Bombyx mori: one gene and its partner. The main gene of each other region encodes a partner of the protein of the gene in region 2 in a complex. Links are inferred from orthologs where the notes say so. Each region holds a gene or a part of one and is shown on either strand. Other genes may lie near its edges.

Region 1 (4,360 bases), on a different chromosome or scaffold from region 2:
AAATTCAAATATAACAAAATTACAGTGATAAACAGAACATGCAGGCACATATTTGATTACTAACAATGCAAGAATAATACATAGCAATCTTAACAGCTACATTTCATTACTTAAAAGGTGATGGTGTCGGAGTTACCCTATTTAAATATAAACATAATAATATGTTTTTATTTTACTTCACTTTAGATTATGCAATAATAGACAATTTGCCAAAAATGTTACTCACTCTGTAAAAGGAAGTTCTACAGTTGTCTCCTCCTCAATACCAAACAACAGCACTAAATAATGGTACCTTGTTTGACCCTGTTTGATCGGTGGATCCAAGGAAACGACAAAGAACATTTGCCTCGTATCCTTGTGAGGCAATAAGAATAAACGGAGAACTGTCGACATAGGGATCTTGTAGTCAAAGGTTTTACCGTGAAGCTGAAAGAATGTCTGGAATACCTTGATATCATAACGACCACTAAAAAAAAATTTAAAACAAATAAATTAATTTGATCGTTTTTCAGAACATTATTATTTTACATTCAATTGCAATTCACTGAATTTAATAATACTGCATTTTTATTTTTACTTTTCTACTCAATTCCGAAACATAAAAGGTACAAAATAGCCATACCAAGACTGAACTGGTTTGTTGTTGTAGACATATACAAATATTAATCTTATATTTCAAATTAGTGAAAATTACAAAAATATTTGGAAACCATACCGAGGTGTCAAACATTGTAGTTCTCTGAATATAGCAATAGCATCACCAGAAACTGAAATAACACTCGCTTTGTTCATTACTTGTTGGTGGAATGCTTCAACTGCATCCAAATCATTGGCCACTTCACTGGTGGGAATGTGGAAGCGCATTTCCATCAATGATACAGGTGTGTCATCATTCTGTAATTTTCAAATCAAAATATAAAGTATCTTATCATCACTATCCATTTGCTGGAAATTGTTCTCTACAAATATGCCTCTTAGACACAGACACAACAAATAACAGACATTTTTACTTTTGCAGATGTTTTATTTGAGTCAATCAATAGTTGCATGTTTGATATGATTATATTAGATATCTTACCCTTGTTAAGTACAACTTTAAGTTTTTTCGATATTTTTTTAGATATTTTCATGATAGCAGAACTAACCTGATGAAATTCGAGTGTGACTTCATTCTTTCCTGTATTGCATTGAGAGACATAATGCAATGGTATTTCAAAAGCGGTGTTTGTACCAACATTGAAACTTAGTACTGCTCCATTAAATTTAGCTGTACCCCAGTTCCAACCTTTTAGAGATAACTCTTTCTCTAGCATGTCTTTATTATAATTGGCTTTGAAGAATTTTGCAACCTTCTCTTGCTCCTGTAGTATTTCAATTATTTAATTAGATGATTCCAATCATAGAATCATAAAATCACTTCATTTGTTTAATTCATTTTCATTGTAGCAGTAGGCAGTGGCTTGGCTCTGCCCCTGGCATTGCTGAAGTCCATGGGCGACAGTAACCACTCACCATCAGGTGGGCCATATGTTCGTCTGCCTACAAGGGCAATAAAAAAAAAAACATTTAGCTAGAATTTATTAAGCTAGTTTTATTGTCATTTTTTAACTAACCCCCAGGACAAACCTGTTGTTTATAAGTAGATAACTTAATTTAAATTATAATTCTACATTAATAACTACTTAAGAGGTTATTTTTAAGAAAACATTTTAAATTCAGAACTCTTCCACAGAACACTGCAACAGAGTAATTCTTATTTCGTTATGAAATATATTTGACAAGCTTAATAAAAACTGAATAGAATAAATTTATTACACATACTTTTTTGTAATTTCTTCTATTTGTATCAGAGTGTATAGAATATGTGACCTAATAATTTTGAAAAAATATTTTCTTGTTTCTAAACAAATTTCAATTTTTAAAACACAGTTCCAATTATGTTTGATTTTAAAAACAACAGCCCTTCTGTTGTTCCCTTCTATTCCAACAATAAGTTTGAAATGGTACTTAGGCGGGATCGTTTTTGTTGATTATTTTAAAATGACTGGCAAATTATAACCCATATTCTTATGATTTCAAGTATGAAATGTTATGGTTTAGAACAAAAACCAGAACCTATTGTCGCATCTGTTATTTTGCATAATAAATGAGTTATCTATCGCAGGGACGTGTAAATTTTGTCAATTATGGAAAACTTATGTTGTATTTACTTACACCTTCTTTAAAACCTCCGTATCTGTGCAAAGTACCATTTTTGAGAAACAAACGTAAGCCCCACGAACCAATGAACTTCTGGAAATTCACCAGCTCAATGTCATTAGCTGATATTTGTTCAACTTTGCCGGTTTTACTATTCTTGAAAATTATGTTTTGGTCTGTCATTTTTAACCTCCCTGGTACCTGAAACGCCAAGCACTCTTAATATGATTCTCCATAATGTTTCTTAAAATGCTTTTCATAAAGCGTTAAGTTATAAATAAAAAGACATTCATTCTTCATCGACATACCATGTTTCCTTTTATTTCTGCGGAAACATCGTTATACTCTAAAAACTCCATGTTTCGTTATTTGACAATACTTTACAACGCGATGTAACAATGTAAAATTAGCGTATATTTCCTTAAGATTGAATAATAGTTTCAATGATTAATTAGTCACTGTGTTTTATAGTGTGTAACGAAAAACTTTTCATTTACTAGTTTTCAAGTTTAATTTTCAATTCACCCACTATAAGTTACGTTATTCATTAAAGTGTAATCTATGATAACATGTGTGTATCTATGATGTTAGGAGACTTTTTGGCGGGAGCGCGAGGAGTGAAGTTGTGTGATTTGTTTTATTTTGTCTATTTAGTGCTTCTTCAGGTTTAAATGTGTAATAACGGAGGTTTATTAACTGTTTAATATCTGTGAAAGTGCACAAATGTGGGAAAATGAAACAAAGCCGCTGGACGTCACTTCTCGGGATCCTCCAAAAAGTGCAATGAAAAAGTCTCAGTACATAGATGACCACCATTTTACTGAGATTATATTTCATCCGATATTCTCATCTCGTTTCATTTGATTTCATCCCAGTTGATTAATGTCTCAAATTAATCATCTTCATTTCATTTCATCATTTTTCATAAAAATAAGAAAATAAATTAAAATAAGACATGACTTAAAGGTCTTAGTTACCAGGTCATAAAATCCCTTAAAAAATCTATGATGTTAACTTAAATAATAGTTTAATCTATGTATAAGGAAATAAAAGGCTTTATGTTATTAAAATAATAATCACACATTGAGTTAAAGGATTCAGTATTTGTTGACTATTAAGTAACTTTTAACGACTCTCGCAACTGTAATAAGTAGAGATTGCAGGCTACTACCGTTATTTAAGTGTTATTCTATGATCTTATGAATATCTTAAATATGCCATTAAGTAATTCTACGTATTCTACTATCGTAGAGTTTTCATTCAATTTTACATTTTTCATATACAGTCAAACCTGGATAAGCGAGAGTTCAAGGGAGCACAATCTCATTCTCGCTTATAGAGGTTTCTCACTAACCCGAGTTTCTCGCTAATGCTCCCTCTGAATTTCGATTCGCGATTTTCCGCATTCAAATGCATTCACTATTTTAAGTTTATGACTTTAATGACAGTACTTTAATTTTCTGTTTTTACATGATGCAGAACAGAACTTTCCTTCGCAATTGATTAACGATAAACTGAGTAAGTCCGACAACACAGGCACACGTGTCCATTCGAAAATAATGCGATAAAAGAATACGATAAAATAACAACGTTATTTAGTTCCACGAAATAGAATAGGTTCAATATTCACGAGGAAACAATACAAAAACAATGATAGGAAGTTCCACGAAAGTTAAAAATGAGTCATAAAATAGCAGATGTTAAATTTGTAATTTGTTTTGTCATTTGTTCCGCCTAAATAATATAAATAAATAAATAAAGCTCGGCTGTCGCTTATAGAGGTATAGGATAGGTAGCAGTCTCACTTACGGAGGTCCATGAGGAAAAACGACTCTCTCTTACAGAGGTTTCTGTTTCTCGCTAATAGAGGTTTTGGGAGCTTAAAATGACGGGTCCTTGCTATTACTCTCACTTATAGAGTTTTCTTACTTATCCAGTTCTCACTTACCCAGGTTTGACTGTAATTAAAAAATTCCAGTTAAAATATAGATACATACATTTCTATGGTATCATACACATTTTTTTCCAACATAGATATATTATATGATGGTTGGTTGGTTGGATACTATCAGAACGGCTCGACAAAATACAACTTTGAAATGCAACAAGCTGTATTTTTGAAATTTTTTGTAATGGGAAACTTTTTGAAGCGAGCGCGATT
Region 2 (3,505 bases):
AATATCTAAAATCTGTTACAGCATGGCAATTCTACCAAAAATCAGACAGCGCAAGTTCGCGGAAGCTATTCAGATTTTCTCTACTTCACCTACCAGCATTAATGTTGCTAATGCTAGTAAATAAGAAGTACTGGAGTTCGAGTGACACTCAAGAGCAGACCGACACCAAAATCCAGGACGTAGGCATATTAGACAAGAGAATTACAGTACTACCTCGAGGACCGGTCGTTGTGGCCCAAGGAAACGACAAACAGTGCTAATTATTTTACGTTATATGTAGGTAGATTTTATTTGCTGTACATAATGTACAAATGTGATCAATGTAGAAGATTGTAAGTTATCTATTACGAGATTTGAATTGTAACCTCAAAACAAGGTTTCGGAATTTCATTTAAATAACACAAAATTCCTGTATGTGTTACTGCTGTACATATATTTACTAGTAACTACTAACTGAATATTTCCTAATCTTAATTTTGGGGTTATAATACTTTTTTGTTATTTTATTTTTAATCGTGTTATTTATGATTTAAAAATAAATAAAATACACACAGATTATGAATTCTTATTTTTCTTATTCACTTTGCTTTTTTCGGGAAAAACAATATCGTGTGCTGTGTAAGTGGGGCACAGGTTCTTTATTTATTTAAATTTACTTAACTATTATCGTGTCACATTCTCAACTGAAAATTTATTAACAACATACATACAAAACACTCAGACCTGTTTTTTAACATTAGACGGACAAATTATGAGACGACACAATCACATACGTAATTATTATTAACAAGCCGCTGTGGCGAATGAAACCCGTTTGAATCCTTTGTATCAAAACGTTTGCTTTTTTATTTTCTGAAACAAGAATATTTTTTTTAATTATTAATGACATATTAAATAACGTGGTAGGGACATGCATTTCTGTTTTATAGAAAATTATTAGATAAATATTTCAGCTTTTGACTTTTTATCAAATAAGTCTGTTGTTTATTACTTTCAATTTATGCACGCAACCAAATTTATATAAAATATATCTGTTTTTAGAATACTCACTTCGCTTTCTTTGCGCTGTTGCCGTGTTCTCTGCTGTCATCGCGTGACCGTTTGTGTGATTTATGGTCACTAGAATGTTTCTTGTCTTTGTCTTTACTAGAGGACTTATGGTCACTCTTGTGGTGTCGATCATGGTGGGATGATTTGTGGTGCTTATCCCGGTTCTTGGAAGGGCTGAAATTAGGGCAATTATAAATATTATAATCTCTTCTCTTCTCTGTCGTTTCCTCATTGCTGAGGGTCGTGACCACCTTGGTCCAGTTTTTGCACCAGCTTCCTCCAATGCTACCTGCATTCGGCCTGCTTAATGGCCGAATAATTATTATAATAATCATTGAAAAATATTATACTTTTCACTTAATCTTAGTTACATTATGTTACTATCATTTTAGGGCTATCCTGTCAGTCAATACTGTACACTAAAATTTTCTCAACTTATTGCAACCCAGGCTGAGTTTCTGGGATTTACAGATCTGAATATTTTTCAGTGATGCTTTCATACGTAGTTTTCCTTTCTCATAATTATTTTTTCTAATTTAAACAATTCAGACATACCTGCTACTGTTCTTTGAAGGGCTTTTATGACTGGAGCTCTTATGGTTTGAGCTCGAACTTTTATGATTGGAACTAGAGCTTTTGTGGTTTGAACTAGAACTTTTATGATTAGACTTGTCATGTTTGCTTTTCTTGGCGGCTCCCTCATCAGAGTCGTACGAGCGTTGTTGGTTTCGTCCTTTACGTTTCCGGTCGAAGTCATCTCGATCGAAGTTGCGGTCTTTTTTATCCTCTTCGGCAGCTTCCCGCTCTAAATCTGACCAGTCTTTACCGGATTCTTCGTCTTCCTCTGCGAATCAAGTAATTAATATGTAACATTCGTACTTGTGGTAATGTCTAAAGCCAGTAAACCAACCAGTAAACCAGTAAATGTAAACGAATAAACTATTCGAACAAATAAACGAATAATTATTAATAGCACACTTATGATTTGCCAGAGATTATTAATAGAAACCATAAATATAACAAATTAAACAGCCTTTTTATTGACTTCGAAAATAAGATCATGGTAATCTCAATTTAGTCAAAGATATTGGTAATGTATGAATAACTGGCATCTAGCCGATTTTTTTTAATTTATTGACAATTAGTTATTCTCACCTTCACTATCACCCGAAGCGTCAGATTCATCAGACGCCTCAGAATCATAGTCAGACCCTTCAGATTCATCAGACTCAGCGTCCGTAGGCTCGTACGCTTCATCTTCATCTTCACTATCTTCCTCCTAAAATACAATTAGTTTTATCAGATTTGTTGTTTTGAATGGATCGAAACAATTCTGTCATTATCTACGCGAAATAATCTCATAGAAAATTAATTTCTAAAATTATATTACCTATATCTACTTTTAAGCTTCAAATAACTTTTCTTTAAAGTCCTTTGGGTTATATGTTAAATTATGTTTTGTTGTCCAATATCAGAAGTTATATATACTATGATTAAAAAAAAGTTTCTTAGATATTCACAAAAAGTGTGTATATTGTTACGTAAAATAATTTAAATTTTCTTAAATTTTTTAAATACTATTTTAAATAAATGAACAGAAAATCGTTTATAACGTTTTCTACTTTTCTGATATACAAACCTCTTGTTCATTTTCACCATCAGATTCTGGATCCAAAAATGACCAGCCACCATTTTCGAAGAAGCCCTCAATGTCATCTGTTATAGTTTTCATAACTTTGGTCCAGTTCAACGATTGTATACCCTCCGAGTACCGGATATCACAAGAACTGAAATATAGAAAAAACATTTCTTTTTCTATACATTCTCCTTAAAAATATTCATGACAGACTGCAACACGACCATGCTCTCCTGTGAATATTGCTAATTGTAACATCAATTTCTTGAATCGAAGTGGCCACTGCGTTGATCATACTATATAATAGGCTATTTACTACCATGATAATATATTTGATAAGCTATCGATTGCATTTTGAAGTTTATCAAAATCCTTCCAGTAGGTTTAGCATGAATGAGTAATACATATCCATCCTCACAACCTTTCCCATTTATAATATCTGTGTATACCTGTTTAAAACTTGACAATGAATTAGAAATAGTTGTTTACTTAACCAAACACATCATCTGTAAGCTATATTGTGGATTAGTTATCTATTCTTCACAGATTTTTCTTCTATCACAAATCTATTTCATTCTAAACTATATGTAACATATTATGTATGTATGTAATATATTTATTCATAAAAAGTTACCCATTCAAAACATGCCCCGCAAAACTGCTTACGCAGTTTGACTGCAGGTAACTCGCTTTATACAAACATAGCGTATAAACCATTCAACTAGCTTATACTATAATAACACAATTAATTTACGTAAATGGTTAATTACACTTCATATCGCGTCGAAACCCGTGCTCAGCAGCAGTGGAATTAAAGGT

Evidence for each region.
Region 1: FACT complex subunit spt16 (region 2) and FACT complex subunit Ssrp1 share a complex: the UniProt entries of both Drosophila melanogaster proteins name them as parts of the FACT complex. The link is inferred for Bombyx mori from reciprocal best matches to the Drosophila melanogaster genes dre4 and Ssrp.

Annotation. Positions count from the first base shown.
Region 1 is NC_085114.1:11,975,657-11,980,016, forward strand, and holds the start of FACT complex subunit Ssrp1, read right to left. Parts: upstream 2,968-4,360; 5' UTR 2,559-2,967; coding exon 2,508-2,558; intron 2,401-2,507; coding exon 2,215-2,400; intron 1,362-2,214; coding exon 1,146-1,361; intron 895-1,145; coding exon 716-894; intron 467-715; coding exon 227-466; intron 1-226. UniProt on the Drosophila melanogaster protein: Component of the FACT complex, a general chromatin factor that acts to reorganize nucleosomes. The FACT complex is involved in multiple processes that require DNA as a template such as mRNA elongation, DNA replication and DNA repair.
Region 2 is NC_085116.1:13,778,205-13,781,709, reverse strand, and holds the end of FACT complex subunit spt16, read right to left. Parts: intron 2,838-3,505; coding exon 2,690-2,837; intron 2,330-2,689; coding exon 2,206-2,329; intron 1,895-2,205; coding exon 1,606-1,894; intron 1,225-1,605; coding exon 1,051-1,224; intron 853-1,050; coding exon 846-852; 3' UTR 556-845; downstream 1-555. Other genes in the region: protoheme IX farnesyltransferase, mitochondrial, read left to right, coding at 22-260. UniProt on the Drosophila melanogaster protein: Component of the FACT complex, a general chromatin factor that acts to reorganize nucleosomes. The FACT complex is involved in multiple processes that require DNA as a template such as mRNA elongation, DNA replication and DNA repair.